Stegostoma tigrinum: one gene and its partners. The protein of the gene in region 1 purifies or fractionates together with the protein of each later gene. This does not show direct contact. Links are inferred from orthologs where the notes say so. Each region holds a gene or a part of one and is shown in the gene's direction. Other genes may lie near its edges. The genes, in order: polr3h, polr3c, polr3k and polr3f.

Region 1 (7,683 bases):
GGTGTAGAGCTGGATGAACACAGCAGGCCAAGCAGATTCAGAGGAGCAGGAAGGCTGACGTTTTGGGTCTAGACCCTTCTTCAGAAAAATGTCAGCTTTCCTGGTCCTCTGATGTTGCTTGGCCTGCTGTGTTCGTCCAGTTCCGCACCTTTTTGTCTCAGCAGTTGCTGGAAAAGCTCAGCTGGTCTGGCAGCATCTGTGAAGAAAAAGTCAGAGTTAATGTTTTGTGTCTGGTGACCCTTCCACAGACCCTTCCTTCTGTTTTTGTTCCTGACTTACAGCATCTGCAGTTCTTTTGGTTTTTCTGTATGAAACAGACCTCAGATTAAATCTTTAATCAGTTAGAAGGTTTTAACTGATTAATTATGTACACTAAACGTGGTGGAGGCAGGTTCAATTGAGGTATTCAAGAGGAGCAGTGGATGATTATTTGGATCGAGATGGTGTGCAGGGAGATGGGACAAGGTAGAAGATTAGCACTAGACTATAATGCACATTTGAAAAGCAACAATGGACTGAACGCTCTCCCGCATTGTAACAATTCTGTGATCTTGTCTCTCTCTCTCTGTCTAGAATTTTCTCTGAAAGTCCGGTGTCCATCACTTGAATCACTCACAGGATGAAGCAATCAAGCACTGCACAAGGATCTGTGATCAGACTAACTTAGCCAAACAGTACAGTCCTGGTGTACGCTCGTTCTGTCAGCAACACACTCGACTCTAAGTGAATGATATCTGTGTTGAGTCGGCTACTCTCATCAAATGGATGACAGCTCTATACCCAAAAGTATTCGGTCTGGCTGAGGCGTCGCAGCATCCTGAGCTTCTGTGGAAGCAAAAACAAATCAACGTAAAACTGAGTGCAGAATAGGCCATTCAGCCCCTTGAGCCTGCTCTGCCATTCAATAAGATTGTGGCTGATCCGTATCTAACTCCAAATCCACATCCGCTTCTGATAACCTTTCACCGCTATCCACTTCTGCTTTAAAAAGATTCACAGACTCTGCTTCCAGCAACTTTTCAGGAAGAGCTTTCCAAAACCTCATTGCTCTCGAAAACAGACAGGAAATGTCCATATCTCTGTTTTAAATTTTTTTTTAAACAATCACTGTCTTTCCAGTTTCTCTCCTAAAGGGAAACATCCTCACCACCTCTGCCTGGTCAAGCACACCCCCACCTCAGGATTTTTATATCTGTCAATGAAGTCACTTCTTATCCTTCTGCAGCAGAAAGCTCATCCAACCTTCCCTCAAGAAACAACCTTTCCCTTCCCAATTATTAGCCCAGTAAAGCCTTTTATGAACTGCTTGCAATGCTTTTACATTATTCCGTAAATACAGAGAATAGTACTGTACCCCGTACTCGGGATATGGTCTCAACTGTGCCCTATATAACTCAGCCACAATCATCCTACATTTGTATTCAGTTCCCCCCATTCTATTGGCTTTCCTAATTACATGCTGCACCTGCATACTAACCTTCTGCGATTCAGGTATGGGGGTACCCAGATCTGTTCTGTACCTCCAAGCTCTACAATCTCTCAGCATTTAGATAATAATGCTTCTGTTTAAGACCTCTTGCCAAAATGGACAATTTCACATTTTATTACATTTACCCGATCTTTGCCCACTTGCTGAACCTATCTATAACTATCCACAGCATCCTCATGGAATCCCTACAGTGCACAAAGACGCCATTCAGCCATTGAGTCATCACTGACCCTCTAAAAAGCATCCCATTCCCCCACCCATCCTATCCCTGCATTTAGTTCGGTCAATCCACGCTAACCTGCACATCTTTGGACTGTGGGAGGAAACTGGAGCACCCGAAGGAAACCCACGCAGGCACGGGAAGAAAGTGCAAACTCCACACAGACAGTCGCCCGAGGCTGGAATCAAACCCAGGTCCCTGGTGCTGTGAGGCTGCAGTGCTAACCACTGAGCCCCGTGCCACCCATGTTACTCATGTTCTCTTCACAACATACTTTCCCACCTATCTTTATATCATCAGCAAATTGGCAAACACACCATCTGTCCCTTCACCCAAATTTGTAAACGGTTGAGGTATCAGCACCAATCTCTTCGACACAATGCTTGTTACATCTTGTCCAACTGATAAAAGTCCCATTTGTACCCACTCTCTGTTTTCTACCAGCCAGCCAGCCTTCTATCCAAATAAAAACTGAAAGAACTGGAGATGGTGTACATGAGAAATATATGAGAACAGGTTAGGTGGGTTAGCCATGGGAAATGAAGGATTATAGAGATAGAGCGGGATGCTTTTTGGAGGGTCAGTTTCGATTCGTTGAGCTGAATGGTCTGCTTCCACACCATAAGGAATCTATGATTTCAAAAACAGAAGTTGCTGGAAAAGCTCAGCAGGTCTGGCAGCATCTGTGGACAGAAATCAGAGTTAACGTTTCAGGTCCGGTGACCCTTTCTCGAAACTCAGTCTTTCATCCATGTAACCAACTACATCATGAGCTTTTTTATGCGCAATGATTTTTCACGTGACACCTTATTGAATGTTTTCTGGAAATCTAAGTGCAGTATATCCACCTTTTATCCACTGCATGTATCACCTCCTCAAAGAACTCTAATAGATTGGTCAAATATAACTTCCCTTTGACTAAACGAAGATAGTGGACATCGACACTGGGAGACCGGATGCTGGTGGGAAGGGAGCTTGAAGGTGGTGTTCCCATGTATCTGCTGCACTTGTCCTTCTAGATGGAAGTGGTTGTGGGTTTGGAAGGTGCTGTCTGAGGATCTTTGGTGAATTTCTGACATGTATTTGTAGATAGTACTCACTGCTGCTACTAAGCGTTGGTGGAGGAGTGAATGGATTCTTGTGGATCCAAGCAGCTGGCTTTGTCCTGGATGGTATCAAGCTTCTTGAGTGTTGTTGGGGCTGCACTCATCCAGGCAAGTGGGGAGTATTCCATCACACTCTTGACTTGTGCCTTGTAGGTGGTGGACAGGCTTTGGGGAGTCAGGAGATGAGTTACTTGCTGCAGGGTTCCTAGCTTCTGACTTGCTCTAGTAGCTACTGTATTTACAGGGTAAATACAGTTCAGTTTTTTTAGTCACTGGTAACACCAATGAATGTCAAGGGGTGGTGGTTAGATTGCATCTTATTAGAGATGGTCATTGCCTGGCATATGTGTGGCACAAATATTGTTGTCATTTGTGAGTTCAACCCTGCATATTGTCCAGATCTCATTGCATGTAAACATGGGCTGCTTCAGTATCTGAGGAGTCATGAATGGTGTTGAATATTGTGCAATCATCGGCGAACATCCCCACTTCTGACCTAATGATGGAGGGAAGGTCATTGATGAAGCAGCCGAAGATGGTTGGGCCTAGCACACTACCCTGAAGAACTCCTGTAGAAATGTCCTGGAGCTGAGATGAGTGACCTCCAACAACCACAACCATATTTCTATGTGTCAGGTGTGACTCCAACCAGCAGAGGGATTGCATGCCGCTATCCACTGATTCCAGTTCTGCAAGGGCCCCTTAGTGTCACACTTGGTCGAATGTGGTCTTGTTGTCAAGGGCTGTCACTCTCACCTCACCTCCGCATTTCAGCTCTTTTGCCCATGTTTGAACCAAGGCTGTGATGAGGTCAGGAGCTGAGTGGCCCCAGCAGAACCCAAACTGGGCGTCACTGAGCAGGTAATTGCTGAGCAGGTGCTGCTTGATAGTACTGTTGATAACACCTTCCATCACTTTACTGATGATCGAGAGGAGACTGATGGGGCTGTAATTGGCCGGGTTGGATTTTTTCCTGCTTTTTTGTGTACGGGACATACTTGGGGGCAATTTTCCACATTGCTGGGTAGATACCAGTATTGTAACTGTACTGGAACAGCTTGGCTAGGGGAGTGGCAAGTTCTGGAGCACAAGTCTTCAGTACTATAGGTGGAATGATGTATCCTGTGCCTCCAAGCATTCCTTCATATCACGTGGGGGTGAATCAAATTGGCTGAAGACTGCTATCTGTGATGCTGGCAACCACTGGAGGAGGCCGAGATGGATCATCCACTTGGGACTTCTGGCTGAAGATTGCTGCGAATGCTTCAGCCTTATTTTTGCACTGATGTACTGGGTCCTTCCATCATTGAGGATGGGGATATTTGTGGAACCTCCTCCTCCAGTGAGTTGTTTAATTGTCCACCACCATTCACACTGGATGTAGCAGGACTGCAGAGTTAGATCTGATCTAGTAGGAACTGCAGATGCTGGGGAATCTGCGATAACAAGGTGTAGATCTGGATGAACAGGAGGAGCGTCTAGGCTCAAAACATCAGCTTTCCTGCTCCTCTGATGCTGCTTGGCCTGCTGTGTTCATCCAGCTCTACACCTTGGTATCTCAGATCTGATCTGTTGGCTGTGGGATCACGCAGCTCAATCACTTTGGATTTTGGATGTTCAACCCAAAGTAAAACATCACTTTGAGAAAAAAAATGACTGGTTTCCGATACAGTTGCATTCGCTTCAAGTTCTTTGTTGTAAAACCTGTGCGCTCCTGTTCACTCGACAAATGCTGAGCTCCCTCCTTCTCAGGTGTCCAAACATCTTGAAGGGTGTCCGGGGCAGGGCCGTCGCAAACTGCCGTAAAATTCAACGGCAAAAGCTAATGGCGTGACCTCCTGCCGTAAAAAAGAACGCGCGCGCCTCCCCCCCCCCGACCGTCTGCCGTAAAGTGAATTTGAACGAGTGGAAGCCGCGGAATGGGAACGTGCGAAGGTCCGATGGCGGCGGCGGGACATGGATAGAAAATGGGTAGAGGCTCGGCCCCGAACCTGGATGGTTGAGGCTGTTGCTGCTGCGAACGCGACCGGAGTCTGGGGCCTAGGGCCTGGCGCCTGGCTCCGAGGCCTGGGGCCCGTGACTGCAGTCGCTCCCTCCGGCTCAAAGCTGCCAATATTGAGGCCCTGAGCCTTACCCCCGCCCCCCGCGGCTTTGGCTGACCGTAACTTTCGGGAACCTCAGTCAGTTCTTTGGGGGAGGTTTCTCAAAGTAGTCAGTAAGTTTGGAGCTGACTGCCAGCGCATTGCCCAAACCGCCCACCTCCCCAGACCCCCCGCATTTTAATCAATAGATCTCACACTCCGTAAAAGCTGCATTTCTGTAGCGCCCTTCAAGACCTCAGGACGTACCAAAATGCTTCACATACAATAAGATGCTTTCCTTCTCCTCTTCCTCCCCCATTACGTCTCAGCTTCAGTTCATTTGCGGCAGAAACCCTCATTCCTACCTGTACTCCACTATTCCAGAGAGTCCCTGACTGTCACCCGCCCTGTACCCTCGGCTTGCTTGAGTTCGTCCAGAATCGCTGTTTATCTCAACTTGCACTGAGTCCCAAAGGAACTGTAGATGCTGTAAATCAGAAATTGTTGGAAAAAAGCTCAGCAGGTCTGGCACCTTCTGTGGAGAGAAGTCAGAGTTAACGTTTCGGGTCGAGAACTGTGAGGAAGGGTCACTCAACCTGAAAAGTTAACTCTGATTTCTCTCCACAGAAGCTGCCAGACCTGCTGAGCTTTTTCCAACAATTTCTGTTTTTGTTTCTGATTTACAGCATCTACAGTTCTTTTGGGACTCAGTGCACATTGACGTGAACAGCCGTTCTGGATGAACTCTGACAAACTGAGGGTAGAATGTGGGTGACCGACTGGGAGTGCTCTGGAATAGTGGTGAGCCTGGGAGTCACCTGAATGTCAGCAAGCACTAGAGTGATAGGGGTGCAGGACTACATACGAAAACAGAAATTGCTGTAAAAGCTCAGCACGTCTGGCAATATCTGAAGAGGGAAATCAGAGTTAACGTTTCAGGTCAAGTGTTGTGAGGAAGGGTCACATGACCAGAAACATTAACTCTGATTTCTCTTCACAGAAGCTGCTGGACCTGCTGAGCTTTTACAGCAGTTTCTTTTTTTGCACCTAGTCCTGTGCCCCTGTCACTCTGGTGCTTGCTGACATTCAGATGACTCCTAGGCAAAGGAATGACATAAATTAGGGTGAGATTTTTAAGATATTAAATCCCTTTGTGGCTTTGCCGTGCTCTCTATATCTAGGTAATCCTCTCTACTCTAGCCCTACAAACACATGAGATACTTGTGCTTCTCCAATTCTGATCCCTTGAGCATTCCTGATTTTAATCACTTCACTGTTGATGGCTGAGTCTTCAGGAGACTGGGCCTCAAACTCTATAATTCCTGCCCAAAACTCTTCTGCCTCTCTCTATTCCTTTAAGACACTCCTGAAAGATCTTGGTCATTTGCTCTACTATCTCCCCATGTGGCTTACTATCAAATTTTGTTTGGCAACTGCTCCTGAGAAGTGCCTTGGGATTTTTGCCATAATAAAAGTGCTACAAAAATGCAGGTCCTTTGCATAGTTCAGCACCCTCCTTTGCATTTGCCAGTGGTGCAGATAGATGTACAGCATGACATGACTTAAATAGACTGTTGGTTAATCGCACTGTGACTTAATGCTGTATTATCAATAAGACTTTTTGTCAATTCAAATAAAAAGCAGTCCTTTTTATTATAGGAACTAACTTCATGAGTGTCCTCACTTTTCCCAATTATGGTGAACAGTGTTTAAGTCATTTCTTCTCCTTCCTTCTCAGTGTGTTGATCCTATCTACTCGCAGCATGTTCGTCCTTGTGGAGATGGTGGATACTGTGCGGATCCCACCCTGGCTTTTCGAAAGGAGGCTGAATGATGCCATTGCTGAAGAGCTGAACAAAAAACTAGCAAATAAGGTGGAGAACCTCTTGTTAAAGCTGCGACCAGGCTGATTTGTTTCCTGTCAGTTCTTTTCATTTTTCATGGGATGTGGATGTTGCTGGGCATTACCATCCCTAGCTGCCCTGGAAAAGAGCGGCTTTCTTGAACTGCTGCTGTCCTTTTGGTGCGGGGTGTTTGCTGTTAGGGAGTGAATTCCAGGGTTTTGACCCACTGAAGGAACAGTGACAGATTTCCAGGTCAGGATGGCGAGTGGCTTGGAGGGGAACTTGCAGGGCGTGGTGTTCCCGTGTATCTGCTGCCCTTGTCCTTCTAGATGGAAGTGGTCGTGGGTTCGGAAGGTGCTGTCAAAGGAACCTGGGTGAGCCCCTGGTTTCATGTGGGACTTAGAAAAATGATTTTGATGAGGTAGCAGAGAAGGTTGATTCATTTAGTGTGATGATTGTACATACAGACTGTTGGGAGGCATTTGCCTGAGTGCCATGTAGGAGATTTATCAAAAATATGAAAGCCCCTTGAATTCGGGAGAAGTAGCAGTGGAGCGTTCAATTTATGGCAGCACAGAAGTAAATGTTAGGCTCATCAAAGTAGATAGAAAATTATCACAGTGATGGGAAGCAGTTACTCATTACAAAGAGATGGATGCTTCTTAGATTGGGAGGTAGCTTGTAACAGTGTCTCTCATGGTGACCTTTGGGTCCTGTACCCTGAAGTTGTTATTGATGACCTATGCTCTTGTGCAGAAAGTGGCATTATGAAGTTTACAGATGATCTGAATGTAAGATAGGTCTGAGCTTCAGATGATAATGATCAGGTTTTGGAGCATGACGTCCAGTGCAAGTAAGTGTGACATGATGCCCTTTGGGAGGATTAATATGGAAAGAAGCAATACAATAACAGCAAAAATTAGTAAAGCAAGAAATTTATAAT
Region 2 (7,885 bases), on another chromosome or scaffold:
GCAATGGTGCTGAAGACTTGTGCCCCAGGATTTGTCAGACTCTAAGCTAAGCTCTTCCAGTACAGCTACAACACTGATCCACCCAACAGTGTGGAAAATTACCCTAGTATGTTATGTACACAAAAAGCAGGACAAATTCAACCTGGCCAAGTACCTCCTGATCAATCTACTCTTAGGTCATCAGAGAAGTGATGGAAGGTGTTATCAACAGTGCTATCTAGTAATATTTGCTCAGAAATAACCTACTCACTGACATTCAATTTGGGTTCCATGAAGGCCATTAAGCTCCCAGCCTCATTACAGTTCTGGTTCAAACATGGATAAAGAGCAAAATTCCAGAGGTAAAGCAAGAGTGATTGCCCTTGACACAAGGTCACATTTGATTGACTGAGGCATCACAGAATCCAAACTAACTCGAAGCAATGGGTATCAGGGGAAAACTCTCTGCTGGTTGGAGTCAAACCTGGCACACAAGAAGATGGTTGTGGTTGTTGGAGGTCAGTCAACTCAGCTCCAAGACACCTCTGCAGGAGTTCTCCAGGGTAGTGTCCTAAGCCCAAATATCTTCAGCTATTTCAACAATGACCTCCCCTCCATCATGAGGTTAGAAGTGGGGATGTTCAGCACCATTCATGACTACTCAGATACTTAAGCAGTCCATGTTGAAATGCATCAAGTTCTGGATAATATCCAAGCTTGTGCTGACAAGTAGCAAATAACATTTACATCACACAAATGCCAGATAATGACCGTCTCAAATAGGAGACAATCTGCTCACAACCTTGCCATTCGATGACATTAACATCACTGAATGCCATGCAGTCAACATCCTGGGGTTATCATTGAACAGAAATTGAACTGGACCAGCATTATAAATTCTGCAACTATAAGAGCAGGTCAGAGACTAGAAATCTTCCAGTGAATAACTCACCTCCCAATTCCCCAAAACCTGTCCACTATCTACAAGGCATAAGTCAAGAGTGTGATGGAATATCCCCACTTTCCAGAATTCGTGCAACTCCAACAGCACTTAAGAAGTTTGACACCATCCAGGACAAAGCAGCACCTCTGAGTGGCACTACATCCACAAGCATCCACTGAGAATAGCAGCAGCAGTGTGTACTACCTACAAGATGCACTGCAGATATTCAACAAAGATCTTTAGACAGTACCTTCCAAACCCATGACCACTTCCATTGAGGAGGGCAAGGGTAGCAGATACATGGGGTCACCACCATCTGCAAATTTTCCTCCAAACTACACACCATCCTGACTTGGAAATATATCATTGTTCCTTCACTGTCACTGGGTCAAAATCCTGGAATTCCTACTCTGAGGACACTATGGATCAACCTACAGCACACGCACTGCAACAGTTCAAGATGGCAGTTCACCATCACCTTCTAGAAACAATAAAATGCATCCACAGTAACGTTACAAATGCAAATTTATACTTAGGGACTGAAGGAAAACCAGAAATTATATAGATTCTGATTTGAAGAGGTGTTTTACCCCAAGATTTCTTGGAAATGATGTTAGTGATTTTATGGCCTGCTGTTTTCAGACGACAAGTGACTTTGCAGAAAAGACCAGCAATGTTTTGAGCGACATGAGAAATGGTTTATGACCTTTGTTTGCTGGAATAACCAGGCTTGACAAAATTTTGGGAGCTCTCTGCCATTGGCGGCTTATCAATCCTTTCTGGACTTAGTTTTCGGTTTTTCAGACTGAAGTGGTCAATAGAAAGTAACCCAAGATTCTATAAGTCTCTCCCTATTTCTTTCAGCAGAGTTGGCCTGAGAGCCTAATCAAGTTTCAACATACAGATATTTCTATCTTACAAACCCCGGAAGGCTGAACTGTGACCAGTTTCCAAAGACTTGGTTCCACCTTGGTTTCAAACTGAACTGAAAATCTTCTATCAGATAACAACTGAGTCCAATTTGAATTCAGAGACAGGAAATTCAGTGGAAATTATTAAATCTTGTAGGCTGCTCATCAATAAAATGGAAGGAATCAAACTAAGATGAACCTCAGCAAAAGCAAAATAAAAACAGTAACACTAACACATTGAATACATCTGAGGTGACTTGGACAGAGAGACCAATTAATAATTTTAAAGATACTAAGAGTGCTGGATTAACATCAGCAGAGATACAGTCACTGACACAGGGCGCTGGGGAAAACAGTTTAATTTTATTCACCTATTGGATGTGGGTGTTGCTGACTCGCCCATCATTTGTTGCCCATCCCTAGTTGCCCTTGAGAAGTGTTGGATGAGCTGTCTTCTTAAGCTGCTACAGATAGACCCACAATGCTGTTAGGGAGGGAGTTCCAGGACTTTGACCCAGTGACAGTGAAAATCAGTGATATATTTACAAGCGAGGATGGTAAGTGGCTTGGAGCAGAGCTTGCAGACGGTGTTGGTGTTTCCACGTTGTCTGCTGCCCTTGTCCCTGGGGAGTTACTTGCAGCAGTATTCCTAGTCTCTGACCTGCTCTTCTAGCCACAGTGTTTATATGGCAAATCCAGCTGAGTTTCTGGCCAATGATAACTCTCAGTATGTTGACAGCAGGGGATTCAGTGATGGAAATGCCAAGGGGCAGTGGGCAGATTGTCTCTCATTGCTTGGCATTTATGTGGCGTGATCATTATCTGCCACTTTTCTGCTCAAGCCTGGATATTGTCCAGGTCTTGCTGCATTTGGACACAGACTGTTTCGGGGTGAGGGGTTACTGAGTGACAAATGGTGCTCAACATTGCACAAGCATTGGTTAATGTCCCCACTCTGACCTTATGATGAAGGGAAGGCCATTGATGAAGTCACTGAAGCTTGTTGGACCTAGGACACTACCCGGCGGAATTGTTACTGAGTGACTGTAACTGGATTATTATCAGTACAGATAGAATCAGGAACACCAAGCGCTGGGGAAGTGGGAGGTGGACCACTTTTGATGGAGATACAGTCAGTTACATTTTTAATGCTGGGAAGAAGAAGGGTTACGGAATGACAATGCAAGGGAGTTTGATGATATCAGAAGAGATGCAGTCAGTAACATGGGTTCGGGGGGAGATGGGTTACTGGTTGACAGTGTGAAGGACCTTCTGACATCAAAACAGATAGTTAGAAACTAGAATTTTAAGAGCATATCGATTTAACATCATTATTATTTAAACTCATTCATATTTTTAACATCCAGAATTACAGCCTGTTCCACATTCCATAAGCATCACTGTTTAAGGCAGTCCAAGCATTTAGTCAGTCTCCACAATACAGTCACCATCAAATTTTGCACAATTATTCAGACCACTACTGAGTTGCTCACTGAGTAATTTGATGTACCCATCCTATTACAAGGGCCATAATCAACACAACCATCACACTCAACCCTTGCAAAAGCAAACATAACTCTGGGCCAATGTTTGAACGCAAGAACATAATTCATTGGAGGAAAGCCTTGGCTAGGACTCGCTTTGCACCAGGAGGAATAAAATGTATTTGAAGACTGTCAGCTCTGGACTGGGAGGAGATGGGAGATGGAGGTCTCCATGGAGATGGTCACCATGGGATGGGGGAGATTAATCTCCAATGATGACCATGGTATGGAGAGCTCAGTCTCCATGGCGACTGTGGGAGGGGTAAGGGGAACAGACAGTCACCACAATGAGCACTGAGGGATGGTTCAGTCTCCATGGTGACCCTGGGAATGTCGGGGGCGCGTGTTCAGTCCCCATGGGATGTAGCGGGGTGTTAAGTCTCCTTCAGTCTTCAGTGGTGGGGGGAATCAGTCTCCATGGTGACCATGGGAATGATGGGATCAGTCTCCAGGGTGACCATGGCGGGGTTGGGGGGGGGATCAGTCTCCATGGTGACCATGGGGATGGGAGAAATCAGTCTCCATGGTGACTATGGAGGGTTGGGGGATCAGTCTCCATGGTGACCATGGAGAGCTGGGGGGTCAGCCTCCATGGTGGGCTGGGGGATCAGTCTCCATGGTGACCATGGAGGGCTGGGGGGAATCAGTCTCCATGGTGACCATGGTGGGGTTGGGGGTATCAGTTTCCATAGTGACCACGGAGATGGGGGGAATCAGTCTCCATGGTGACCATGGGGGATTGGGGGGATCAGTCTCCATGGTGACCATGGGGATGGGGGATCAGTCTCCATGGTGACCATGGGGGGGTGGGGGGGATCAGTGTCCATGGTGACCATGGGGATGGGGGATCAGTCTCCATGGTGACCATGGGGGGGTGGGGGGGGATCAGTGTCCATGGTGACCATGGGGATGGGGGATCAGTCTCCATGGTGACCATGGGGGGGTGGGGGGGATCAGTGTCCATGGTGACCATGGGGATGGGGGATCAGTCTCCATGGTGACCATGGGGGGGTGGGGGGGGATCAGTGTCCATGGTGACCATGGGGATGGGGGATCAGTCTCCATGGTGACCATGGGGGGGGGTGGGGGGATCAGTCTCCATGGTGACCATGAGGAGCGGCGGATTGGGTTAAGATTGCGGAGTATCCCCCTCCCCCTCCTGAGGCTCGGGTTGACTGATAGTGATTCCTCCCCGGTGAAGACCAGCAGTTTCCCGGAGCAAGGGGGACGAGGCAGTATACGCTGGGCTCGGGGCCTGTCTTACCGGTAGCTTGGGGCACACCTCTCCCTTGCAGCAGTGACAGAAGAAGCGAAGCGGAGACACAGCCGCCGCCTCCGCCATCTTATCCGCTGACGTCAGCGCCCTCCCGGAAAGCCCCGAGCTACCCGGAAGTGGACTCTGGAATTTATGAGGTTGGGGGCACGCCGCCATCTTGGTGCGGGGCACAAACCGGATGTTCCTGCGGTATCGGGTCAGTAGGAACCAAAGTATCCGGAACATAAAGACCATCACTACCGGAAAGGGACCGTGAGGAAGTGGGGGCTTTGGTCCCAGGAGGGAAATAGAAGGAGGGAGAGCACTTCGTAGATTGCAGTGAGTTTTAGCTTTAGTAAAGCTTCGGCTACACGATGTCCCCTCACCCCCCGTCCCCCCATCAAACACTCCCAGGGACAGGGACAGCACGGGGTTAGATGCAGAGTAAAGCTCCCTCTACACTGTCCCCCATCAAACACCCCTAGGGACAGGGACAGCACGGGGTTAGATGCAGAGTGAAGCTCCCTCCATCCTGTTCCTGTCGGCTGTCTGAATGTCACTAGCCCACTTCGTATGAAAATACTGTGATGCTGGGAGTCTGCAATGAAAACAGTGAAGTGTTGGAGAAACTCAGCAGCTCCACCGGTAACTGTGGAGACAGAGAAGCAGAGTCACTGTTTCCAGTCCCCTTCAGAACCTGTCAGATTCAGACTGACAGCTTTAACTCTGCTTCTCTCTGCCAGGCACTGCCGGAATTTCTGAGTTTCTGCTGCACTGTCTGTTCCTGTTCCCTTCACATTTTTTCCTGCTGTTTTCTTTTCCTCAGACTGAAGGTATTGTTTTAGCAGTCTCTGACTTCGAAGTTGTTACTGAATTAGTAGTGATTCATGTGGTTTTGCAGGACGGACTCTGATGAGATTGAACCTAATCAGGAATGACACACGTTGAGTCACAGATCTGCTCCTGCTTGCTCCAGGCACACTACGGTGAAATTGTAGCCAAAGTTGGCACCCACCTAATTCGCACAGGATGCCAGCCTCTCCGGCTAATTGCCAAAGATACTGAAACGCCGATTGATCAGGTGTGTGTTTGTGTGGGGTCGGGGGTGGCGGGTGGGTGCTGGTAGAGAGGGGGTGTGGTGGTGCAGTTTGCTGCTAAGGGCTGATGGGAGTTGAAGGAATGGCACCAATCTGAGATAGCTGATCAGACTCTTCCATAGCTAAGAGAAAAGCTTACTATAGCTGGCCACATAAATTTCCAGACTCTGTGTGTGCCATTGACAGGATGAGGAGTGGGACATGGTGAGATCACAGCATGGCTGGAAACTGGGCCTTGGCTAGCAGACGGGTGTCAGTGGTACATGTAGAGGGGAAAGTTTGGTGTACAGGGACCTTGACTGTCGTACTGCAATGTTCCAGGTTAAGAAAGCTCTCTGCGTCTTGATCCACCACAACTTTGCTTCCTATCATGTGCACAAGAGGGGCTTTGTAGAGTATGAAGTGCACTGTGCACACATCATTCGCATCCTGCGATACCCACGCTATATCTACTCAGCTAAGACACTGTACGGAGACACAGGGGAGCTGATTGTGGAGGAACTGCTGCAGAATGGCAAGATGACAATGAGTGCAGTTGTGAAGAAAGTGGCCGACAGGCTGAGAGAAACAATGGAAGGTGAGAGTGCATGAAGGAAGAGATGGAGGCTGCAACTAGCATTCGAATGTAGAGGAGGGGAGGGGAGGGGAAAGAGGATCCTGGCAGGGAGTATATGTGAGTTTGTGACGAAGGAAAGATCAGTAGCAAAGACTATACTGGGATCAGGGTGGGGGTTGCATGTGTACAGACTGAGGGGATGTGTAAGAGGGGGTCTTGTACAGGGGAGGAGTTGTGTATGGTGGGGGGAGGGGGAGCCACATACGGGATGGTGGGAGGAGGTGGTGTGTGTGGTGGGGGCCTGCATACTGTGGGGATGAGGGAGCCCACGTGTGGAGGGGAGGGGGAGTCGTGTACGCTGGGCCTGGGGGGGGAGGGGGAGTTGTGTACGGTGGACAGGGGGTGAGGGGAGGGGAAGTTGCGGACGGTGGGGTTGTGTGGGGGAGGCCGAGTCATGTATGCTGGGGCTGGGAGGGGGGAGGGGGAGTTGTGTACGGTAGGCAGGGGGTGAGGGGGTGGGGTTGTTATTGTTCTGAATGGTGAGCACAGTCTTACTGGCTAATGCTTCATCTGGGTAGTGTTTCTCACGTCCTTGGCTCTTCCTCTGCACAGACAGTAAAACCGGGGAACACAGTGAGACCTCGAATACCTTCATCCGATTGGTGCAGACCCACTTCCTGCAGAAATGTGCCCTGGTCTCTGAGTGTGTGGTTGCTGAAGGCTTGCAGCCCCCTCATGCTCCAACACTGGTCACTGATGAGAAAGAGATGTACACTGTGCCCCATCTCAGTGTTGTTGGTAAGGTGTCACAAACCTGCTCTCTGCTTTCATTCAAGGCTTGTCCAAAGCTGGGAAGCTTTTCCTTCATCAAAAACAGAAATTGCTTGAGAAACCCAATAGGCCTGGCGCCATCTGTGAGGAGAAAGCAGAGTCAGCGCTTGGGGTCCAGTGAACCTTCCTCCGAACCGATAGTAACTGGGAGCAGGTGGTCTGTATGCTGAAGATGGGGGAATGGGGTGGTAGAGTAAGAGAAGGAGTGAGAGGATTGGTGGAGATGGAGCTCTGAGGGACAACGAGATGGCTGATAGTAAACTAGAGAGAAAGAAAAGCTGATAACTGGGTGAGTGATAAGTGAATGAAAATGTTGGCTCTGCTAAAAGCAGCCTTTGCCATGATAGGTCCTGGGGTGTGGGATTTGCTAAAGGACATAGAAACTTATTGAACTCAGTATTGAGTCCTACAGGGTCCCTAAGCAGAAAATGAGGTGTTCTACTTCCAGCTTGTGCTGAGCTTTGCTGGAGCACTGCAGCAAGCCTGACACAGAGATTTCGGCCAGGGAACATGGCAGGGTGGGGAAGCTCAGGGTCACTTTTACAAACAGAATGGAAGACCTCATTGTGAGCAGTGAATACAGTTGACTAGATTGAATGAAGTGCAGTAAATCGCTGCAAGATGTGCCGAGGACTTTGGATAGTGAGAAGCGAGGAAGGAAGCAGATGAGTGTTGCACCTTCTGTGATTGGAGGGGAAGGTGCTGTGGCAGTGTGGTGTGGTGTTGTAGGTGGACCAGGGAGTTGTAGAGAGAAAGGTTCCAGCAGAAG
Region 3 (7,855 bases), on another chromosome or scaffold:
TGCGTGGGTTTTCTCTGGATGCTCCACTTTCCTCCCACAGTCCAAAGATGTGCAGGTTAGGTGGATTGGCCATGGGAAATGCAGGGTTACAAAGGAAGGGGAGAGGGGTGGATTTGGGTGGTATGCTCTTTGAAGGATCAGCATAGACTCGATGGGCCGAATGTCCTACTTCCACACTGCAGGGATTTGGAGTACTATTTTACTTGGTTGTATTTATAAAGAAAAACATCTTAATTCATGTCAAATTTGTCTTTTACGAATCGTATACAAATTATATTAGGGTCTCTGCCCGCATACTTTTTTTAAAATCTAACACAATTACTTGTCCTATTGAAGGACAATGAAATTAGACCTAGCGAAAACTATTCTGGCCAGATCGTACCCAGGAGTTTATATTCTTAACAAAGCCTACAGGCACAAAGACACTGTATTGCAATTCTTAATGTTTGGGGAGGTGGTGGTGCACAGGTAATATCATTAGGCTAGTAATCCAGAACTGCTAGACATGGATACAAATCCCACCATGTCAAATTATGAAATCTCAATTAAACAGAAAATCTGGAATAAAAAGCTGGCCTACTGAAAATGTTGTAACACTGTCAATTGTAAAATCCAATCTGATTAACTAAAATCCTCTGGGTAAGCAAATCTGGGCATTCAATTGTGATCTCCCTGCTATGGAAAGGGTGTTGTTAAACTTGAGAGGGTGCAGAAAAGATTTACAAGGATGTGGCCAGGCTTGGACGTTTTGTGCCACACGGACAGACTGAATAGGCTGGGCTATTTTCCCTAGAGCATCGGAGGCTAAGAGGTGACCTTGTAGGGGTTTATAAATTCATGAGGGGCATAGATAGAGTGATTAGCCAAGGTCTTTTTCCCAGGGTACAGGAATCCAAAACTAGAGGTTTAAGGTGAGAGGTGAAAGATTTAAAAAAGACTTGAAGGGAAACTTTGTCATACAGAATGTATGGAACGAGCTGCCAGAGGAAGTGGTGGAGGCTGGTTCAATTACAATATTGAAGTGGGATCTCGATGGGTACATGAATAAGAAGGGTTTAGAGGGATATGGGCCAAATGCTGGCAAATGGGACTAGATTAATTTAGGATATATGGTTGGCATACAGAAGTCAGGCCGAAGGGTCTGTTTCCATGCTGCACATCTCTACGACTCTATGCTATGTGGTCCGGCCTACATGAGATTCACAGTGATGTGGCTGACTGTCAACTGCCCACTCGGCAATTAGGGATGGGAAATAAATGTTGGGTCTAGTCAGCAATGCCACATTCTGTGTACAATTAAAAGACCAGAAAAAGATTTCCATTGATCAAACAGTATTCGCATTCTTGATATCAAACATCATCACTGATAAAAATGTAATTATTGTGAATGTGTAAAGCTTATGATTAAAATAAACCACAAACCTGAACTGGAAGATCACACAGCAATGGATCCTGGACAATCATGGCCAGACCTTCCTGAAATAGGTCCAGGATTTCTGCATGCGATAACTCTTCCTCCTCTTCTACAGCTTTTTCTTGATTGACTACGGCAAAATTTTCTTCCTGCTTAATGTTGGTGGAAAGTGGTTCCTTCTTAATGTCTTCAGTCATCCTCAGTGAATCTTTCAGTGGAATTTAAATGAGAATTGGATTATTATCTGGAAAAGAACGTGCAGAGTTATGGAGAGAAGGTAAGGGAATAGCACTGGGAAAACTGCAACTTTGGAGAGCCAATACAAACATGGCCACCCTCTGTGCTGTAACCATTCTGTGAGTTCAGTTCTTTTTCACAATAGATATTCAAAGCCTCCATGCTTATTATATTAGCCTCATTAGCATTTAAAACACTTGTCAATCTTGCCAATTGCTAACTAGCTCAGTACTGAATCACAGTGGAGTGGACACAGGAGATATGATAGGGCATGGAGGGGGAAAAGAGGTAGTGTGTGTGGGATGGGGGAGGAACGGGAGATATAGAACATAAAACAGTACAGCATAGGAACGGCCCCTTTAGCTCACAATGTTGTGCCGGCCATGACACCAAGTTAAGCTAATCCCTTCCATCTGCCCATGGTCCACATCCATCCATTCCTTTCTTACATACGTGCTTATCTAAAATCCCCTTAAATGCCCCTATTGTATTTGCATCCACCACCACCATGGCAGAATGTATTTAGGGCTATGGAGGAAAACTTGGGAAATAAACTATTCTGCGAAACTGATGATCTATCCAGTCAAGAGTTTTGGATAAGATGATTCCTTAGTACTTAATGATCGGGAACTGCCTCACTTGGAAAACAGGTAGTTTCTTCCAAAATACTTGCTCTAATTTGTGGTTTTGAACTTAGTCATTCTGCAGTCTCCTTCATTCTGACTGTAAACTGATCCACGGTGTACAGTAGGACCTGAATTCTCCCTGTTTCTCACTTCCTGCTGTGATGAGTTGATTTATTTACTGTCTGTTCTTTTAATCTCTGAAATCCATGACACCACATTCCTATAGTCTCTCCCACGTTAATTGCTGTGGCTGTTGTTTCTCTCCCTTTCAATCCTTGTTTTTCTCTTTCTGTCTGTCCCCATCCATCCCACTGTCTGGCTCTCTGTCCTAATCTCTGACTCTCTCTCTCTCTGATTCTCTCTCTCTCTGTTGCTGTCTGTCTCTGTCTCTGTGTTTTTGTCTGAGCTGTTTCTGTCTCTCTCTCCCCCCTCTCTGTGTTTGTCTGTCTGTTTCTGTCTCTCTCTCCCTCTGTGTTTTTGTCTGAGCTGTTTCTGTCTCTCTCTCCCTCTCTGTGTTGCTGTCTGTTTCTGTTTCTCTCTCTCTCTCCCCCTCTCTGTTTCTGTCTGTGTCTGTTTCTCTCTCTGTGTGTTGCTGTCTGTGTCTGTTTCTGTCTCTCTCTCTCTGTGTTGCTGTCTGTGTCTGTCTGTTTCTGTCTCTCTCTCTCTCTCTGTGTTACGGTCTGTGTCTGTCTCTCTCTCCCCCCTCTCTGTTTGTCTGTCTGTTTCTGTCTCTCTCTCTCTGTGTTTCTGTCTCTCTCTCCCTCTCTGTGTTTCTGTCTGTGTCTGTTTCTCTCTCTCTCTCCCCCTCTCTGTTTCTGTCTCTCTCTCTCTCTCCCCCTCTCTGTTTCTGTCTCTCTCCCTCTCTGTGTTTCTGTTTCTGTCTCTCTCTCCCCCTCTCTGTTTCTGTCTGTATGTTTCTGTCTCTCTCCCTCTCTGTGTTTCTGTCTCTCTCTGTGTTGCTGTCTGTGTCTGTTTCTGTCTCTCTCTCCCCCTCTCTGTTTCTGTCTCTCTCTCTCTCTCCCCCTCTCTGTTTCTGTCTCTCTCTCTGTGTTGCTGTCTGTGTCTGTTTCTGTCTCTCTCTCCCCCTCTCTGTTTCTGTCTCTCTCTCTCTCTCCCCCTCTCTGTTTCTGTCTCTCTCTCTCTCTCCCCCTCTCTGTTTCTGTCTCTCTCTCTCTCTCCCCCTCTGTTTCTGTCTCTCTCTCTCTCTCCCCCTCTCTGTTTCTGTCTCTCTCTCTCTCCCCCTCTCTGTTTCTGTCTCTCTCTCTCTCCCCCTCTCTGTTTCTGTCTCTCTCTCTCTCTCCCCCTCTCTGTTTCTGTCTCTCTCTCTCTCCCCCCCCTCTCTGTTTCTGTCTCTCTCTCTCTCCCCCCCCCTCTCTGTTTCTGTCTCTCTCTCTCTCCCCCCCCCTCTCTGTTTCTGTCTCTCTCTCTCTCTCTCTCCCCCTCTCTGTTTCTGTCTCTCTCTCCCCCTCTCTGTTTCTGTCTCTCTCCCTCTCTGTGTTTCTGTTTCTGTCTCTCTCTCTCTCTCTCCCCCTCTCTGTTTCTGTCTGTATGTTTCTGTCTCTCTCTCCCTCTCTGTGTTTCTGTCTCTCTCTGTGTTGCTGTCTGTCTCTGTTTCTGTCTCTCTCTCCCCCTCTCTGTTTCTGTCTCTCTCTCCCCCTCTCTGTTTCTGTCTCTCTCTCCCCCTCTCTGTTTCTGTCTCTCTCTCTCCCCCTCTCTGTTTCTGTCTCTCTCTCTCTCTCCCCCTCTCTGTTTCTGTCTCTCTCTCTGTGTTGCTGTCTGTGTCTGTTTCTGTCTCTCTCTCCCCCTCTCTGTTTCTGTCTCTCTCTCTCTCTCCCCCTCTCTGTTTCTGTCTCTCTCTCTCTCTCCCCCTCTCTGTTTCTGTCTCTCTCTCTCTCTCTCCCCCTCTCTGTTTCTGTCTCTCTCTCTCTCTCTCCCCCTCTCTGTTTCTGTCTCTCTCTCTCTCTCTCCCCCTCTCTGTTTCTGTCTCTCTCTCTCTCTCTCCCCCTCTCTGTTTCTGTCTCTCTCTCTCTCTCTCCCCCTCTCTGTTTCTGTCTCTCTCTCTCTCTCCCCCTCTCTGTTTCTGTCTCTCTCTCTCTCCCCCTCTCTGTTTCTGTCTCTCTCTCTCTCTCTCTCCCCCTCTCTGTTTCTGTCTCTCTCTCTCCCCCCCCCCTCTCTGTTTCTGTCTCTCTCTCTCTCTCCCCCCCCTCTCTGTTTCTGTCTCTCTCTCTCTCCCCCTCTCTGTTTCTGTCTCTCTCTCCCCCTCTCTGTTTCTGTCTCTCTCTCTGTGTTGCTGTCTGTTTCTGTCTCTCTCTCTCTCTCCCCCTCTCTGTTTCTGTCTCTCTGTGTTTTTGTCTGTGCTGTTTCTGTCTCTATCTCTGTCCCTCCTTGTGCCTGCACACCCTCCCCTCGACCCCAGCCGGACAGAGTTTGTTCAAACGGACTCCAGACCCTGATCCTGACACGAGCACGCACTGTCTCTGTTCCTCCCTCTCTCCGAGGCCTCGTGGTCCGCACCAGCCCTTCCCCCACCCCCGGAACCAAAATCCGGGCGCACGGTGAGAAGGCTCTGGGCAGTGTTTCTGTTTCCGGTTCCGGCGATGCTGCTCTTTTGCCCGACCTGCGGGAACGTCCTGATTGTGGAGGAGGGACAGAAATGTTATCGTTTCGCGTGTAACACCTGTCCGTACGTTCACAACGTCACCCGGAAGGTGGGGGACGAGACTTAGGGGCCGGGGCCGGAGAAGGGGGTCGGAAATGAAGGAAAGCAGGATGGGAGAAGGTTAGGATAACAAGGTGTGAGGCTGGATGAACACAGCAGGCCAAACAGCATCTCAGGAGCACAAAAGCTGACGTTTCGGGCCTAGACCCTTCATCAGAGAAAGAAGGGGGGGGATGGAGAGCAGAGGGGGAGGGGAGAGTGGGATGTAGGGAATGGGGTGGGGTATCGATGAGGAAGGAGATTGAGTGGTGGAGGATATTTTATTCATACACAAACGTATTTATTAAGCTGATTGTACCTTGTTGAAAATGTTTATACCTGGATGAATGGGAAATGGCTGAAATATGTGATACTTTAGAGACTAATGTAAATTGGAAATCAATAATGACTGTGTTCAGGGCACTTTCCTTTGAACTCACTTTATTGACTTGCTTGTGTGCAAAATAACAAGTGATATTTTTCCTTTGTATTGAAGGTAACAAGCAGAAAATATCCCAAGCTTAAGGAAGTCGATGATGTGTTAGGTGGAGCTGCTGCTTGGAAAAATGTTGACTCTACAGCAGGTATGGTAATTAAAACAACTTGTCACGTGAAAGATGAGGTTGGGTAATATGGGTCACGTGATAGCTTGCATTATTCTACACAGTTGTTTTGTGTAACATTCCCTACAGAGATCCTTAGCTTTTACTTAGATTCTCTATGATGTGGAAACACGCGCTTCGGCCCAACAAGTCCACACCGCCCCTTGCAGCATCCCACCCAGATCCATCCCCCTGTAACCCACGCACATCTGAACACTACAGGCAATTTAGCATAGCCAATCCACCTAGCCTGCACATCTTTGGACTGTGGGAGGAAACCGGAACACCCGGAGGAAACCCACGCGGACACGGGGAGAATGTGCAAACTCCGCACAGGCAGTCGCCCGAGGCTGGAATCGAACCTGGATCCCTGGTGCTGTGAGGCTGCAGTGCTAACCGCTGAGCCACCATTTTAAAAGATAATTCAAAATTCCGGTTCATTGCTCAGAGAATGATGCACTGAGATTTCACATTTTAAGACATATTGTAACAAATGAGTGAAGACACTTAACTAATACATTTTCTTGAAAGACAACATGTACCATAACCCATAAAGCCCTTATTCTGAGCAAAACTGAAGAAGAGAACACAGTTCAAACATATTCTTTACACTTTCCTTCATGTAGGCATTAAATATTCCCAGGATCAATCCAAAGTGATACTGGGATACCAGGGTTAATGCAAAGTACTGCAGATGCTGGAGAGCTGAACTAAAAACATTGTTGGAAATACCTGGATCATCTTACCATTACCAATAACACCTACACTTCATCTGTATCATTTCTCTCCCTCCATGCACATTCTCTTCATCTTTTATTCTGGTGTGCATTCCCAGCTTGCTCTTCCTGTTCCATTTCCAACAACATAACAACTATCATTTTTTCCAGACATAACAAGGTGTAGAGCTGGATGAACACAGCAGACCAAGCAGCAGCAGAGGAGCAGGAAGGCTGACGTTTTGGGCCGAGACCCGTCTTCATTTTTTTTCTGAAGGGTCTAGGTCTGAAACGTCAGCCTTCCCTTTCCTCTGCTGCTTGGCCTGCTGTGTTCATCCAGCTCTACACCTTGTTATCTCAGATTCTACAGCATCTACTATCTCTGAATCATTTTTTCCAGCCTACTTCTGAAGAGAAGTCTCACAGAGTTGAAATATTCCCATTTTGCTCCCCACAGAGGCTGTCAGACTTGAATTTCTTCAACATTTTGTTTCTATTCTTAGCCCTGAGAAATAATTTTTTTTAAATTTTTCTGGAGACACGCTTTCTGTAGCCCTAAGTGGTTCCCCAGCCTCATGTTGTCTCCCTGTGAGTTTGATCTTTTCCATCCAAGCATGATTCCAGTATGGTTCCAGCACTTTCAGACTTTTTGCTTACTAGCTGCTCCCTCAATCTTGGATCGAGATGTCAGAACAGCTTTGTTCTACCTTGCATTAAAGACACAGTCCTAAACAAAACAAACTCATATTTGTAGTCAATACAGTGTGGAGCTGGAGGAACACACCAGGTCAGATATCATCTGTGGAGCAGGAAAGTCGACATTTCGGGTTCACACCCTTGATCAAACCGCTGTGTTCCTCCAGATGACTCTGACTCCGGCATCTGCAGTTCTTGCTATCGCCAAACTCATATTTGTAGCAGGGGGCAACTTTAACCTAAAGACACAAGTGCGGATCTCGCTATAGCAGCTTCCTTCTCTAAGTTATCTTAAGAGCTGTCATAGATCCTTGGCAAGACTGTCAAATTTATGTTACCAGGTTAGGGACCAGTAACTTTAAACACTAAGTACATGAAGTTTAAAGTTGCAAGAACTCACTAAGATTAATGCTGTAGGATTCTGTTTTTAAACAAATAAAATAAACTTGACTTTACAAGGTTAGGAAAGTAATACAGTCTATAACGTGCATGCAGCTTTGACAGCCATAATTAATGTGAAGTATATTTAGGTTTACAGCCAAATATTGGTTGAACATCACATAGAGCATATCCAATATCAGATCAAGCAGGTCGAGAGATCCCAAGGATTTCCCAGCAGCCCAGCCAGATGTTCGTGACACTGTGGGCACAAAATCTCATTTAAAATTTTGCTCTCTGCAGAGAGAAATAACTCTGAATCGCTCTCAAAGCTACTCTTGACAGACTGTGTTTCAAAATTCATCACATTTAGATAATTCAATCTCTCCTTCTGAGACCACGTTGCCTGGGACAGGTTGAATAGGTTAGGCCTGTGCTTATTTGAATTTGGAGGAATGAGTGGTGACCTTATTGAAACATGTAAGATT
Region 4 (7,321 bases), on another chromosome or scaffold:
ATCTGCTTCAATCATCGCATTTAGAATTTACATTCTCAGCATTTTCTGTGTAAAGGAAATCTTCTGAATACTTTATTTTACCTGTTATTGGCTATCGTATATTTTTGCCCCCTCGCTGTGTACTCACACACAAGTGGAAACAGTTTCCCCCATCTGCCCTATTGAGCCGTTTTACAATTTTAAGACCTCTCCTCGGTCTACTCAGCCCTTTATTTCTAAAATCATTGTACCTGTCTATACCAATCACTAGATCATTTTTTCTAATATCAACATCTGGTTAATTCTGTAAATCCGATCACCCCAGTGTTTTTTTTTCTGCATTTATTCAGTACTTCACTATCCCTCCTGCAATGTGAAGACCAAAATTTGGATGGAGTACTCCAACTATGCAAGCAAAGTTCAATAAAAATGTAATAATACCTGTTGATTGTTGTTTTATTCTTTCCATAATGGACCCATGTGTTTTCTTTGCACACTTTATAGTCTTGAGAAGTTTTGTTGGTAATAACCTTCTTCAGGCTGTCTACATCTGAAGATCTGGAATTCCCTCACTAAAGCTGTATCAAACCATTTTTTTCCCTTATTCATTTGTGGGATTTGGGCATCTCTGGCTCGCCAGCATTTCTTGCCCATTCCTACTTGCCCTGGAGAAGGTGGTGATGAGCTGCCTTCTTGAATGACTGCGGTCCACCTGCTGTGGGTTGACCCACAATGCTATTAGGGAGGGAATTCCAGGATTTTTGACCCAGCAACAGTCACGGAGCGGCAATATATTTCCAAGTCAGGATGGTGAGTGGCTTGGAGGTTGTAGTCTTCCCATATGGCTGATCCCCTTGTCCTTCTAGTTGGAAGTAGTTGTCAGTTTGGAAGGTGCAGTCTGAGGATCTTTGGTGAATTTCTGCAGTGCAAGTTGTCGGTAGTACACACTGCTGCTACTGAGCATCAGTGGTGGGGGAGTGGATACTTGTGGATGTAGTGCTAATCAAGTGGGCTGCTTTGTCCTGGATGGTGTCAAGCTTCTTGAGAGTTGTTAGGGCTGCACTCATCCAGGCAAGTGGGGAGTATTCCATCACACTCCTGACTTGTGCCTTGTAGATGGTGGACAGGCTTTGAGGAGTCAGATGAGTTACTCACCTTGATTGACCTCCAGCAACCATGACCATCTTTCTATGTGTCAGGTATGAATCCAACCACTAGAGAGTTTGCCCCTTGACACCCATTGATTCCAAGTTTGCTATGGCTCCTTGATGCCACACTCAGTTGAATGCAGTCTTGATATCAAGGGCTGACACTCTCACCTTACCTCTGGAATTCAGCTGTTTTGCTCATATTTGAACAAACAAGGGTTCCCAAGCAGAATATGAGTCGCTGTTCCTGTAACCTTTGGGTAGCATTGTTGTGGTACTGCAGGAGGTCCAGGATGGACATGTCGTCCGAGAAATGGAACTGGGAGTTGAAATGGTTTGCAACTGGGAGGTGCAGTTGTTTAGTGCGAACCGAGAATTCTTCGTAGGTTATGTGGAACAATCCCTCTTACCTACCTATACTGACCCTAAACCCCACCTCTTCCTCCGTTACATTGATCATTGTATCGGCGCTGCTTCATGCTCCCACAAGGAGCTTGAATAGTTCATACACTTCACCAACACCTTCCACCCCAAACTTAAGTTCACCTGGACCATCTCCAATACCCCTCTCTCCTTCCTGGACCTCTCTGTTTCCATCTCTGGCAACCACCTAGAAACCAAGATCCATTTCAAACCTACCGACTCTCACAGCTACCTAGAATACACCTCCCCCCACCCATCTTCCTGCAAAAATGCCATTCCCTATTCCCAATTCCTTCATCTCCACCGCATCTGCTCCCAGGATGAGGCATTCCACTCCCGTACATCTCAGATGTCCTCATTTTTCAAGCACCGCAACTTCCCCCAATCAGTGGTCGAGAACACCCTCGATCGTGTCAGCCGCAACTCATCCCTCACACCCCCTCTCAACAATAACAACCAAACCAGAATCCCCCTCGTCCTCACATACCACCCCACCAACCTCCAGATCCAACCCATCAGCGTCCAACACTTCCGCCATCTGCAATCCGACCCCACCACTCCACATTTTTCCCTTCCCACCCTTATCTGCTTTCTGGAGGGACCACTCTCTCTGTGTCTCCCTTGTCCACTCCACACTGCCCTCCGGCACCACCACACCCAGCACTTTTCCCTACAACTGCAGGAAGCGCTACACGTGACCTTACATCTCCTCACTCACCCCCATCCCAGGCCCCAAGAAGACTTTCCACATCAACAGATGTTTACCTGCACATCTGCTAATGTGGTATACTGCATCCGCTGTTCCCGTTATGGCCTCTTCTGCATTGGGGAAACCAAGCGGAGGCTTGGGGGGGGGGCTGCTTTGCAGAACACCTATGCTCGGTTTGCACTAAACAATTGCACCTCCCAGTCGCGAACCATTTCAACTCCCCCTCCCATTCCTCAGACAACATGTCCACCTCGGGCCTCCTGCAGTGCCACAATGATGCCACCTGAAGGTTGCAGGAATAGCAACACATATTCCGCTTGGGAACCCCGCAGCTCAATGGTATCAATGTGGACTTCACAAGCTTCAAAATTTCCCCTCTCCTTACATTCCACAGTCAGCCCCGCTCGTCTCCAACTCCCTAACCTGTCCTTCCTCCCACCTATCCCCTCCTTCCACCTCAAGCCCCTCCCCCAACTCCTACCTACTAACTTCATCCCACGCCCTTGACCTGTCCGTCTTCCCTGGACTGACCTATCTCCTCCCCACCTACACTCATTTCTACTGGCTCCATCTCTGCCTCTTTGACCTGCCTGTCTCCTCTCCACCTATCTTCTCATCTCTCCATCCTCTACCCCCCCCCCCTCCCCTCTCTCCCTATTTATTTCAGAGCCCCCTTCCCCTCCCTGACTTCTGAAGAAGGGTCTAGGCTTGAAACATGAGCCTTCCTGCTCAGTCTGCTGTGTTCATCCAGTTCTACACCTTGTTGTCACTGAGCAGGTGCTGCTTGATAGTACTGTTGATGACACCTTTCATCACTTTACTGATGACTGAGAATAGACTGATGGAGTAGTAGTTGGCTGGGTTGGGTTTGTCCTGTTTTTGTGTACAGGACATTTGTGGACAATTTTCCACACTTTTGGTTAGAGGCCAATGTTGTAACAATACTGGAACAGCTTGGCTTAGGGGAGTAACAAGTTCTGGACCATGAGTCTTCAGTACTATTGCCAGAACGTTGTCAGGGCCTCTAGCCTTTGCAGTATCCAGTGTATCTTAATGCTTAATTTTTTTGACAAATATTTAGATTACCAGTGATTGATTTATTTGTATTCCCCAAAAAAACTTTGTTCCTTGTCCCATCTTTTTAATGTGAGAATTTGAATCTGAAATGCATTAACTTGAAGGGGTGGTGGAATTGGATTTTGGACTAACTTCCAAATGGAACTTGTATAAATAATAATACAAAATGTAGGTGCTCTGCATAAATAGCTTCAGGTGAGGAGAAGATGCATGATTAAAAACTAAAAGAGCCAAAAGGTTGCTGGGTTATGGTACTCCAGTTGGTTTCAAGTAAACGGCTGTCTTCACAGTTATTGGTGGCGTGAAGTTGCTGCAATTCCGTAATAAAAACTGAAGTCACCACATAAAGATAAGTTTAGTGATCAGTCTCTCAACACTTTAATCCGGTAAGTGTTAAATTGATGGGAGTAACTGTGTGGCTCAGCGAATTATTTACAAGCATTTTATTTTTACTTTGTTTGCTCTTGCTCTTAACCCGAAATTTCTCCTTCTCTTCCTCACCCCCGCCTTTTTCTTGTGCGCCTAATGTGAAATTAAACTTCAGTCACATTACACTTATTCTTCCTCACTCTTGCTCCCGTTATTAAATTGCCTTAAATCTAACTAGTGAATGAGATCCAGTTTTGTTTACAAAAACAGGTTGCTGGAAAAGCTCAGCATATCTGGCAGCCTCTGAAGAAAAATTTAGAGTTAACGTTTCGGGTCTACTGACCAGTTTCTTTTGTTTAACCTTGCTGCACCATTAATATATCCTACATAAAGCGACTTGCCATGCAAAACAAAGCTAAATCGTAAACTAAATTAATGTATTTTTAATGCATCCTTTTTCCGCTCCCAGGTTACTCCCGGAGGGATGGTAAACGTGTTGTCACGTGATTGTGTTTCAAAGGGCGAACAGAGTCCGCAAAAGCGCCAAACCCTGGTTAGGCCCCAGCTCAAATTAAACAGCTGCTTCTCAGATTGCCGGAGAGGAAGAAAAGTCGAGCTGGGGAAGGCTATCTATTGAACTAAACGTGTGCCTCTTTGGTCTTTCACTATTTTCAGAACTGTCTTGTAAGATACGGCAGCAGAAAAAAAAAACTGCTTGTAATTAACGACGGGAAGCGAGGAGTGTAGACTGGCAAATGAATCTCTTGCCCAATAAGAGATTGAGACTGCAGAATGAAAGGTCCCCTAGTTCAAGAGGCTGAAGTAATTTGCTGCTGTAGATCGTTTACCCCGGAGCTGGAGGGTGAGCGTGCAATTTGGAACATTCACGCTGAGGTTTGATACAACGTTGAAACGCAAGAATTGCAATATCGGACCGAGGGGGCCAGTCAGCACCGCTACAGACCAGATCCGCAAACAAACCCTTCAGCCACCAATATATTGTCATGCTGTACAACTGAAATCATGGCTGACGTGACAGTGAAGCAAGAAGCAGTAGATTCTGTGGGACTGGAAAGCAGGTAGTTTTTGTGTGGTTGGCTACGATGACAAGGTCGGGGCCGTTTTCGCGTTGTAAAAATTCTGAGTGAAGAAAGGTCGTCACTGATGCTATGAAAATTTCCATGCTTTTAAGACTTCGAGCAATGAGAGTATTTAACCTCTGTCTTCGCCGCATCTCCTAGCCGTGTTGTTTGTCTTGCTTACGTTGCACTTAGTAGAAAGGGTCAGTTCGCTGCTTTTCACATCTCAATTCACATTTTGATTTAAGATAACTAAGTGTGAAGCTGGATGAACACAGCAGGCCAAGCAGCATTTCAGGAGCACAAAAGCTGACATTTTGATTTGATTAGATTAGATTACCTACAGTATGGAAACAGGGCCTTCGGCCCAACAAGTCCACACCGCCCCTTGAAGCATCCCACACACCCCTGAACACTACGGGCAATTTAGCAAGGCCAATCCACCTAACCTGCACATCTTTGGACAGTAGGAGGAAGTCCACGCAGACACGGGGAGAATGTGCAAACTCCACACAGTTGTCCGAGGCTGGAATCGAACCCGGGTTCCTGGTGCTGTGAGGCTGCAGTGCTAACCACTAAGCCACCATACAACCCTTGCATCTTTTCCACTATTAACAACCCTCTTGTATTTTGCTTTGGGCCTCCATACAATCTTCGCTCTTGCTCATCGACTGTCTTTTGTCAAAAAGTATTTTTTTAAAAAAAACATTTCCAGTTTTCAGTTCTGATGAAGGCATACCTGACTCAAAATGTTGTCTCGCTCTCTCCACAGATGCTAAACTTCTCCATGTTGCACCTTTTTGAATGTAATGGAATAACCTTAAGCACTTCACAGACATTATAGAGCAAAATATGATGGGGAGCCTCATGATCAAAAGCTCAGTGAGGGGTGTGGGAGTGGGAAATGATTGAGAGGCAGAGGCATAGAGATATACAGCGTGAAAACTGACCCTCTAGTCCAATTCATCCATGCTGACCAGATATCCTGAATAAATCTAGTCATATTTACCAGCGTTTGGCCCTAAATCCTTCCTACTCGTGTACCCATCCAGATGCTATTTAAATGTTGTAATTGTACCAGCCTCCATCACTTCCTCTGGCAGCTCATTCCATACACAAACCACACTACATGAAAATTTTGCCCCTTAGGTCTCTTTTTAAAAATCTCTCTGCTCTCAACTTAAACCTATGCTGTCTAACTTTAGACACATCCACCCAGGAATAAGACCTTGTCTCAGCCCACCACTGATGCCAGTCTCACTGGTCTACAATCCCGGGCTTTTCTTTGCCTCCTTTCTTAAATAGTGGCACAACATTAGCCAACTACCAGTCTTACGACACCTCACCTGTGGCTATTGATACAGTATCTCAGCAACGGTCCCAGCAATCTGTTGCCTTGCATCCCCCAGAGTTCTAGATTACACCTGATCAGGTCCTGGGGATTTATCTACATTTTGTGTTTGAGACATTCAACACTTCTTCCTCTGAAATATGGACATTTTTCAAGATGGTGCTATTTATCCCCCAAGTTCTCTAACTTCCATATTCTTCTCCACAATGAGCACTAATGCAAAATACTCATTTAGTTTCTGCTCCATCTCCTGTGGTCTCACGTGTAGGTAGCCCTGCTGATTTTTAAGTGGCTGTATTCTCTCCCTAGTTACCCTTCTGTCTTTAATGTAACTTTAGATTTCTTTTGGATTCTCATTAACTACATTTGCAAAAGCTATTTCACGTTCCTGTCTCTCTCTTTTTGCCGTCATGACTTCCCTCTTCAGTATATTCCTACTGTTGTTATACTCTCTTCTAGGGATTCACTCGATCTCTACTATGTATCCCTGATGTATGCTTCCTCCTTTTTCTTGATGGAAACCTCTAGTCATCCAGCATTCCCTATACCTATCAGCCTTGTCCTTCACCCTAACAGTAACATACTGTCTCTGGACTCTCATTATCTCAATTTTGAATGTTATCCATTTTCCAGCCATCCCTTTTCCTGCGAACATCTGACCCCATCAACTTTTGAAAGTTCTTGCCTAATACCATCAAAATTGCCCTAGCTCCATTTAAACTTTTAACTTTTAGATCCAGTCTATCCTTTTGCATCACTATTTTAATTATCATCACTTGCCCCAAAGTGTTCCCCCACTGACACCTCAGTCACCTGCGCTGCCTCATTTCCCAAGAGATGGTCAAGTTTTGCACCTTCTCTAGTAGGTACATCCTCATACTGAATAAGAAAATTTTCTTGTGCATACTTAACAAATTCCTCTTTATCCAAGCCTTTAACACTCTGGCAGTGCCAGTCCACTTTTGGAAAATTAAAATCCCCTACCATAACCACCCTATTATTCTTGCAGATAACTGACACCTCCGTACAAAGTTGTTCTTTTTTCAATTTCCTGCTGATTTACCGGGGACATCTATATTACGATCCCAATAAGGTTTGTCATTTCTTTTCTTTCTTCTCAGTTCCACCCAAATTACCCGTCTGGACATAAACACCAATACCCGTCCCCTCTTCCCACCACCACTCC

What was found.
Region 2: the proteins of polr3h (region 1) and polr3c purify together in Homo sapiens (affinity purification with mass spectrometry; 5 studies listed by BioGRID and IntAct, with this or other methods). This does not show direct contact. The link is inferred for Stegostoma tigrinum from reciprocal best matches to the Homo sapiens genes POLR3H and POLR3C.
Region 3: the proteins of polr3h (region 1) and polr3k purify together in Homo sapiens (affinity purification with mass spectrometry; 3 studies listed by BioGRID and IntAct, with this or other methods). This does not show direct contact. The link is inferred for Stegostoma tigrinum from reciprocal best matches to the Homo sapiens genes POLR3H and POLR3K.
Region 4: the proteins of polr3h (region 1) and polr3f purify together in Homo sapiens (affinity purification with mass spectrometry; 4 studies listed by BioGRID and IntAct, with this or other methods). This does not show direct contact. The link is inferred for Stegostoma tigrinum from reciprocal best matches to the Homo sapiens genes POLR3H and POLR3F.

Annotation. Positions count from the first base shown.
Region 1 is NC_081391.1:6,524,978-6,532,660, reverse strand, and holds the start of polr3h (DNA-directed RNA polymerase III subunit RPC8), read left to right. Parts: upstream 1-4,683; 5' UTR 4,684-4,750; exon of another isoform or gene 4,751-4,786; intron 4,787-4,810; exon of another isoform or gene 4,811-5,030; intron 5,031-6,634; 5' UTR 6,635-6,659; coding exon 6,660-6,770; intron 6,771-7,683.
Region 2 is NC_081400.1:582,313-590,197, reverse strand, and holds the start of polr3c (DNA-directed RNA polymerase III subunit RPC3), read left to right. Parts: upstream 1-4,869; 5' UTR 4,870-4,971; intron 4,972-5,533; 5' UTR 5,534-5,566; coding exon 5,567-5,713; intron 5,714-6,050; coding exon 6,051-6,306; intron 6,307-6,897; coding exon 6,898-7,083; intron 7,084-7,885. Other genes in the region: rnf115a (E3 ubiquitin-protein ligase RNF115), read right to left, coding at 4,642-4,719. UniProt on the Homo sapiens protein: DNA-dependent RNA polymerase catalyzes the transcription of DNA into RNA using the four ribonucleoside triphosphates as substrates.
Region 3 is NC_081376.1:5,098,690-5,106,544, forward strand, and holds the start of polr3k (DNA-directed RNA polymerase III subunit RPC10), read left to right. Parts: upstream 1-4,850; 5' UTR 4,851-4,874; coding exon 4,875-4,985; intron 4,986-5,471; coding exon 5,472-5,559; intron 5,560-7,855. Other genes in the region: snrnp25 (U11/U12 small nuclear ribonucleoprotein 25 kDa protein), read right to left, coding at 1,423-1,611. UniProt on the Homo sapiens protein: Core component of RNA polymerase III (Pol III) which synthesizes small non-coding RNAs using the four ribonucleoside triphosphates as substrates. Can mediate Pol I proofreading of the nascent RNA transcript.
Region 4 is NC_081362.1:22,718,587-22,725,907, forward strand, and holds the start of polr3f (DNA-directed RNA polymerase III subunit RPC6), read left to right. Parts: upstream 1-4,313; 5' UTR 4,314-4,728; coding exon 4,729-4,784; intron 4,785-7,321. UniProt on the Homo sapiens protein: DNA-dependent RNA polymerase catalyzes the transcription of DNA into RNA using the four ribonucleoside triphosphates as substrates.